Linked DNA regions of Ovis aries. The protein of the gene in region 2 purifies or fractionates together with the protein of the main gene of each other region. This does not show direct contact. Links are inferred from orthologs where the notes say so. Each region holds a gene or a part of one and is shown on either strand. Other genes may lie near its edges.

Region 1 (3,811 bases), on a different chromosome or scaffold from region 2:
TGTGACTTTACAGGGACGCTGATTGTTGTGCCTGACGTGTCTAAGCTTAGCACACCAGGTCAGTAATCTGTGGCTCAGGTTTAACAAATTCTCAGTTATTGCAGAACATCTAGCTTCTTGCCTCTTCCTTGTCTTATTTTTGGCTACCAATCAGAGTGAACAAGGAACTATAATGATAACAAAGACTAACTGGTTTTGCTACAGAAGGTACTCTTCTGAAAATTCCAAAGCCTAAATGAAATTTTAGATTTTTTTGGTTTTATTTATCTGGGCAGTTCTGATTATCAGTACCTTCAGTATCTAGCTATGAAACAACCTGTCATTCAATGTTTCAGGAGCACGCGCAGAAACTGATTCCCGAGTCAGTGGTGTTGATGGATATGAGACAGAAGGTGTTCGAGGTCTCCGGGCCCTTGGTGTTAGAGACCTTTCATACAGGCTAGTCTTTCTTGCCTGCTGTGTTGCACCAACCAACCCAAGGGTGAGTGTCTTAGTAGAATGGCAAAGCTTAAGAAAGACATTACCTGAGGCTGCCACAAATTCAGTGTTAAAGACAAAGGTTTGGGTTGAGATTTGCTCTTTAGCTCTAAAACCAGACTTTTTCATGCCTTGTTTTCCTGACCTTAGGGAAAAGTCTTATTTTTATGTGTTCAAGTTCGGTGCTCTAAGGATATTGGTGCTATTATTATTAATGGTGGTTTTTCTGGAGGTGGGGGTGGTCTTGTTTGTTTTTTAATTGTTACAGTTCCTCTGTCACACTCCTTGAGAAAGTACAAATAGAAAAATTTCGTAATCTGGGCAATAGCTTATAAATTACTCTTTCTGAGAGTGATTGACTCCCTGGTATTGTAGTGGTTGAGAACTTAATTTTGTTTGCAGGATGGGAAAGCAGTGAGAAAAAGTTTGGAAAATAGTCCAGTGTTGGGAAATGAGGAGTGAACATAATATTCTGTTCATTCTCATCTTCGTAACAATGATTACCATTTTATTATGGCTCATCTCTTGAGCATCTGGATTCATTTAGATAGCAATGCAAAACAATGGTGGTAGCTTTTTTTGTTATTTATAAATCACTGGACAGATGACAAGCTCTTTGGTATTTTGGCTAACTTAGGCCTTTCTGGTTAGAAGATTTTTTTCAAAAAGACCTTTACAGGCAACAGATTTTGACCTCCCAGGATGTATTTTGTTTCTGGTGATGTTTCTTCTCTTTCACATTATTTTGACTTATTTCTATACTACTATTTTTTTCCTTTTCTTCTCCCCCTCAGTTTGGAGGAAAAGAACTCCGAGATGAGGAACAGACAGCTGAGAGCATTAAGAACCAAATGACTGTGAAGGAGTGGGAGAAAGTGTTTGAAATGAGTCAAGATAAAAATCTGTATCACAATCTTTGTACAAGCCTGTTCCCTACTATACATGGTAAGAAGTCTTATCTGTGAAATAAGCTTGAAGTCAAAGTAATGTTTGTAAAACAGCAACATGTGACTTCTTAAAATACACAAATCAGATGTTAAAAGGTTTTTAGTGGGTTTAGAAGGGGTTTTTAAAAGTCATTTATAAAAGGACAGATATTACATGGTTCCAGTTGAGATGAGATACTTAAAATAGGTAAATTCATAGAGAAAGTAGAAAAAGATTACCTGTTGAGGAGAGAAATAGGGAATTGTTTATGGATAGAATTTGTGTTTGGTGTTATGAAAAGACCTAGAAGTGAATGGGTTATGGTTGTAAAAGATAGTGAATGAATGTACTTAAACCCCTTCTGAACCCCTTAAAAATGGTTGCGGTGGTTAATTTTATGTTGTGTGTATTTTGCCAGTTTTCTTTTGAAAAAAAGAAAAAATCATTTAGTCTTTTTCTGGCTTTAGGACAGAACTGCACTTAAGTATATTCTTAATATGCCAGATTAACATCCTGATCTCTTTTTCTTGTTAGTTTTCACAATGGGAAGAGATTTCATATTGTTTTTTTGATTATATGTACTGTGCCTAAGCCTGGCATGCTGCAGTTCATGGGGTCACAAAGAATTAGATACGGCTTAGCGACTGAACAACTGTGCCTATACCTTGTGGTTTCTGCTTTCGCACTTTCTTAGCTGTTGGTTGCTAGCTGCTCACTGTCATTAAATCCCTTGCACACTGAAGGATATGACTAACTTTTCAGATCTCATGCTTTGTTTTTTTTCCATCCCTCCATATTCAGTTGAAGTAAAGGCAAGAGTTCATAAGATTATGGTTATTTGTCTTAGGTATGTATTTTTAATCATTGAAAATTAACCTTTTTTTCTGCTTAAATATTTGGTCAGTGAAATTGAACTGAAATCCTTAATATTAATAATCCTTTGTGGGTTTTAGAGTATCCTCCCTTAGAATGCTGCTGCTGCTAAGTCACGTCAGTCGTGTCCAACTCTGTGTGATCCCATAGACGGCAGCCCACCAGGCTCCCCAGTCCCTGGGATTCTCCAGGCAAGAACACTGGAGTGGGTTGCCATTTCCTTTTCCAGTGCAGGAAAGTGAAAAGTGAAAGTGAAGTTGCTCAGTCCTGTCTGACTCTTCACGAACCCATGGACTGCAGCCTACCAGGCTCCTCCATCCATGGGATTTCCCAGGCAAGAGTACTGGAGTGGGTTTGCCATTGCCTTCCTTAGAATGAGTCGGTATCAAATTTTTATACTGTTTCATTCCCCCACCATAAATTAATCTATTGCTTCATAACAAATTATCCCAAACTTAATGGCTTAAAACAACAAGCATATTTCATACTGTCTGTAGATCAGGAATTTGAGGGAAACTTAGCTGTGTGGTCTTGGTCAGTCTTTGTAGATTTTGTAGCCAAGATGTCAACTAGGGCTGTAGTCATCTGAAGGCTTGACTTGAGCTGGAGGATCCACTTACAAGGATGCACTCACTGCTTATCTGTCAGTGCTTGTTGTTAGCTGGAAGCCTCAATTCCTTACCATATGAGTCTCTTCCCTGGACTGTTTCAGTGTCCTCGTAGCACAACAGCTGGCTTCCCTCAGAGCATGCAGTCCAGGAGAGCAGAGCCAGGAGGAAGCAAAATGCTTCTCGAGACCTAGTGCTAGAAGTTTTACACCTTCTCTTCCACCATATGCTATTTGTGGGAACCAAGTTACTAAGCCCAGCCACACTGAAGGAGAGGAGAATTAAGCTGTCATCTAGAAATGAGGATTATCAAAGAATTTGTGGGTTATTTTAAACTACCGCACCTCCAACGCATTTGTTTCATACAGGTTATAAGTCAGAAATTTTGTTTTTGGAATGGATTTTAAATTTTCTGCTTCTAAGGAGTGCTTTGTGTACCTGTGCCAGCATTTCGTTGATGGCATTCACAGAAGGTCATAATAATTAAGACAGAAGAATGTTTCTTCCAATATCACATTTCTAAAATTTGGTGTTATGTTTTTTTTTAATTGTTCATTTCCTTCTTGTATTTAAAAACCATTTTTAGAAGCACTGTAGATCACATTCAGCATCTTGCCTAATCTGTATCAGTTCAATTAGCTTGTATTTATATTTAGCTTTGGGTCACTATTCCTGATACAAAAGAGGTAAGTCATGGATCATTTCCTGAAACTCTTGATAGAACTATATAACCTGCAGTTGGAAAGAACTAGCGAATATGGTAGGCTGTAGTGGACATAGTTTATTTATGGGGAGAGATATTTGAGGACCGTGACATAGGGAAAGACTTTGTATAGGAAGCAGGACTTATAGACAAGGAAAGACTCTTAGAATGGTGAGCATCAGCATCTGTTTCAGGTGAAGGTATTAGTATAGTGATTAGGTGA
Region 2 (3,811 bases):
GGGGCCCCGCGGCCCGCTGGGGCCTCGGGAGGCAGCTGCCACCCACGGCCGTCTAGCCATCTGCTGGGCCTCCGAGCCCCGGCTGGCGCTGAGCCTGCTCGGTCCTTCCCCCCGCAGATCAGCCTGGACCCTCCCATCAAGCAGGGTCAGACTCGCTACCACTTCCTCATCCTGCTTTTCTCCAAGGACGAGGACATCTCCCTGACGCTCAACATGAACGAGTGAGTGAGGCTGTTCCCTGCCTGGGCAGGGGCGGGCGGGGGGGCGGGCAGGCGGAAGCCCGCAGCGACCCCGCCCGCCTCTTGCTGTCCTCAGGGAGGAGGTGGAGAAGCGCTTCGAGGGGCGGCTCACCAAGAACATGTCAGGATCCCTCTACGAGATGGTCAGCCGGGTCATGAAAGCGCTGGTGAACCGCAAGATCACGGTCCCGGGCAACTTCCAAGGGTGAGCGCGCCAGCCTGGGCTGCTGCCTGCCATGGGGGGTGGGGAGGTGCGCTCTCAGGTGAGCCCCTGCTGGGAACGCCGCCCCGCGGGGCCCTGGGTGGGCTGTCGCTGGAGGGGGCAGCCCCCCTGAGGCCTACACACCGGGGGGCTTGGGGCATGTTGCCCAGGCGGGCTGCCCAGGCGGCACTGACCGCGCCCCCTCCCCAGGCACTCGGGGGCCCAGTGCATCACCTGCTCCTACAAGGCCAGCTCAGGGCTGCTGTACCCCCTGGAGCGGGGCTTCATCTACGTCCACAAGCCGCCCGTGCACATCCGCTTCGACGAGATCTCCTTTGTCAACTTCGCCCGCGGGACCACCACCACGCGTTCCTTTGACTTTGAAATTGAGACCAAGCAGGGCACCCAGTACACCTTCAGCAGCATTGAGAGGTGAGCGCCTCTGCCCAGCCCTCCCGGGCACCCTGGCCCCGACCCAGCCTCCACTGGGCGGCCCGGCCTCTCCAGGCAGGCGACTCCTCTGATGTGTCGAGCCTTGAGCAGTTTCTCTTTTGCTGCCTGGAATTTGGCCTTCTCTCTTGGGGTGCTTAGCCTTCGGCAGCTGCTGTATTGCTTGCTTTCTGTACTTAAAAAAATCTGAGTGCCGTATGTATTTGGTACTAGTCCTCTTCCTCTCCCCGCACAATGGAAATGCTGTCTCCTCCTTTCCTTGAATGATCTCTGTGCCCGAGAACACAGCAGCTGTTCACTGAATGCTGGCTGGGGGCTACATGTTTCACAGACATGTTTACAGTCAACCTTCATAACAGCCTGAGAAGGCTGGGTTGCTGCTGCTGCTAAGTCGCTTCAGTCGTGTCCGACTCTGTGCAATCCCATAGACAGCAGCCCACCAGGCTCCCCTGTCCCTGGGATTCTCCAGGCAAGAACGTTGGAGTGGGTTGCCATTTCCTTCTCCAATGCATGAAAGTGAAAAGTGAAAGTGAAGTCGTTCAGTCGTGTCCGACTCCTAGTGATCCGATGGACGGTAGCCCACCAGCCTCCTCTGCCCATGGGATTCTCCAGGCAGGAGTACTGGAGTGGGGTGCCATCGCCTTCTCCAGAAGGCTGGGTTACAGACCAGCAAAACGCCCAGCCTGCCTCCCCGCTGCTTGTGGGTGTTGGTGGACAGGCACACACTGCTTCCTGTGTTTTCTTCCCCTGAAATCTTAAGATCCTGTAAGTTTTCAAGACTAGCGTCTGACTCTTCTCTGCCTGTTGTCTGCCGGGGGTCTCTGAGATCCCGGGTGTGATTGAGCTGTCGAGGGTTTGGGCCCCTTGGTCCGTGCGGCCCCTGGGGGGTGTTGAGATAGCCCACAGCCCACCCCGTGTCGGACCTGCCCACTGGGTAACGGGGCCCTCTCGTCTCAGGGAGGAGTATGGCAAGCTGTTCGACTTTGTCAACGCCAAGAAGCTCAACATCAAAAACCGAGGGCTGAAAGAGGTACCTGGGCGTGCTTGGGAGGAGCCTTGCCTGTTCTCTGTCGGGGAAGGGGCTGGGGTTGGCGCGGCTTCTTTTTCACTCTCTCTTCTCTTCTCGCCTTTGTAGAAAAAAGAGGTGCGTGAGACCCTCCCCCTCCGGGTACAGGTTTCCTGGCATGACCTTAGAGCAGGCTCCGCAGTCCCCCAGGGGCCCCCCGCGGGCCGGGCGCGGGAGGGGCTTGGACTAACTGGGTTGGCAGGGAGTCGGGCAGACGCTCTGCGCTGAGCTGTGTGTGGACACCTCCAGGCGCGGTTGCTCCGAGCTACTCACAGGCATGGGGATGGCTTCCGCGGGCGCGGGTCGGGGGGCTGGCCCTGAGCCCCACGCCCGCCCTGCAGGGCATGAACCCCAACTATGATGAATACGCCGACTCGGACGAAGACCAGCACGACGCCTACCTGGAGCGGATGAAGGAGGAGGGCAAGATCCGCGAGGAGAACGCCAACGACAGCAGCGACGACTCGGGAGAGGAGACCGGTGGGCGGTGGGCGGCCTGGCGGGGGGCGGGGCAGGGTCCCCAGGGGCGGGGGTGGGGCGCAGAGCTCACGCGGCCTGTGCTCTTTTTCAGATGAGTCCTTCAACCCGGGTGAAGAGGAGGAGGACGTCGCAGAGGAGTGAGTCGTGGGTCTACTCGGCGGGGTGAGGGTGGCCCATAAGCTTCAGGGACTGGAATACCTCTGAGCGTTCCCAAGTCCCGGAGCTACCTACCGACCGAGGGTAGAAAAGCGACCGCTGTTGAAGTGATACAGGGCCACGTTTTAAAGTTGTCAGGATGCTTTGTGAGTGCAAAGCATCTCCTGAAACCAGAAAACGACAGTGGAGAATGGGGGTAGGGGCAGAGCTTGCCCGCTTCCCAGCTGCGGTCCTCGGGTCAGGCGGTGCATCTCTGTGTCTCCTCTGTGAGATGGTAGTGTCCATCACTACTTTAAAAAAACTTTATTTTTATTTTTGGCCGGGCTGGGTGTTCGTCACTGGGTGCAGGCTTTCTCTGGTGGCGGCGAGCAGGGGCTGCTCTCTGCTCTCGGGGTGTGGGCTTTTCACTGCAGTGGTCTGTCTTGTTTTGGAGCAGGGGCTCTAGGGTGCAAGGGGCTTCAGGAATTGTGACTCGCGGGGCTTAGCTGCTCTGCAGCGTGTTGGAATCTTCCCAGAGCAGGGATCAAACCTGTGTCCCACTGGGAAGTTCCTCTATCGAGACTCTCGATTGCCGATGTCAGAAATATGACTCAAACTGATTTTCGTGTAAGAGTGAGTTTTATTAGGTCATGTAACCAGAGAGTCTGGTGATAGAATTGGGCTCAGGCACCTGAATCCAAAGGCTTCCCTGGTGGTTCAGACGGACCTGAGCCTGTCTGAAGAATCCACCTGCAATTCGGGAGTTACGGGTTCCATCCCTGGGTGGGGACGATTTCCTGGAGAAGGGGATGGCAACCCACTCCAGTATTCTTGCCTGGAAAAATCCCATGGACAGAGGAGACACAACTTAGCGACTACACCACCACCACCACCACGACTGAGTCCAGGTGCTCGGAAGTTGAGGGGAATATTAGTTTTTACTTCTGATTTCCTTATTTTTAGATGGGTGCATGCATCGCTAAATGACCCTGAGCAGCACGGGGCAGGCTAAGTCCTCCGAGTTAACTCTCAGAAGTGCTGCTGTTTTCAGAGCAGTGGTGGATGGTGTGCTTGCCTCCCCTTCCTGAGTCTGAGTTCTGAGCTGTGCTCTGATGAACTAAGAGTTAAGCCATGCACCACCCCCCCCCCCACCCCACTTAGAGCCTGTGGCTGGGGTGGGCTCCCCCTGAATGGGGCTGGGTGGTTCCCAACAGGGAATTGGAGTTCTCTTGTTCCAAA

Evidence for each region.
Region 1: the proteins of SSRP1 (region 2) and MCM6 purify together in Homo sapiens (affinity purification with mass spectrometry; 4 studies listed by BioGRID and IntAct, with this or other methods). This does not show direct contact. The link is inferred for Ovis aries from reciprocal best matches to the Homo sapiens genes SSRP1 and MCM6.

What each region holds. Positions count from the first base shown.
Region 1 is NC_056055.1:174,969,844-174,973,654, forward strand, and holds part of MCM6 (DNA replication licensing factor MCM6), read left to right. Parts: coding exon 1-58; intron 59-335; coding exon 336-481; intron 482-1,271; coding exon 1,272-1,422; intron 1,423-3,811. UniProt on the Homo sapiens protein: Acts as a component of the MCM2-7 complex (MCM complex) which is the replicative helicase essential for 'once per cell cycle' DNA replication initiation and elongation in eukaryotic cells.
Region 2 is NC_056068.1:79,361,535-79,365,345, reverse strand, and holds part of SSRP1 (FACT complex subunit SSRP1), read left to right. Parts: intron 1-117; coding exon 118-221; intron 222-315; coding exon 316-444; intron 445-651; coding exon 652-873; intron 874-1,848; coding exon 1,849-1,921; intron 1,922-2,298; coding exon 2,299-2,437; intron 2,438-2,528; coding exon 2,529-2,574; intron 2,575-3,811. UniProt on the Homo sapiens protein: Component of the FACT complex, a general chromatin factor that acts to reorganize nucleosomes. The FACT complex is involved in multiple processes that require DNA as a template such as mRNA elongation, DNA replication and DNA repair.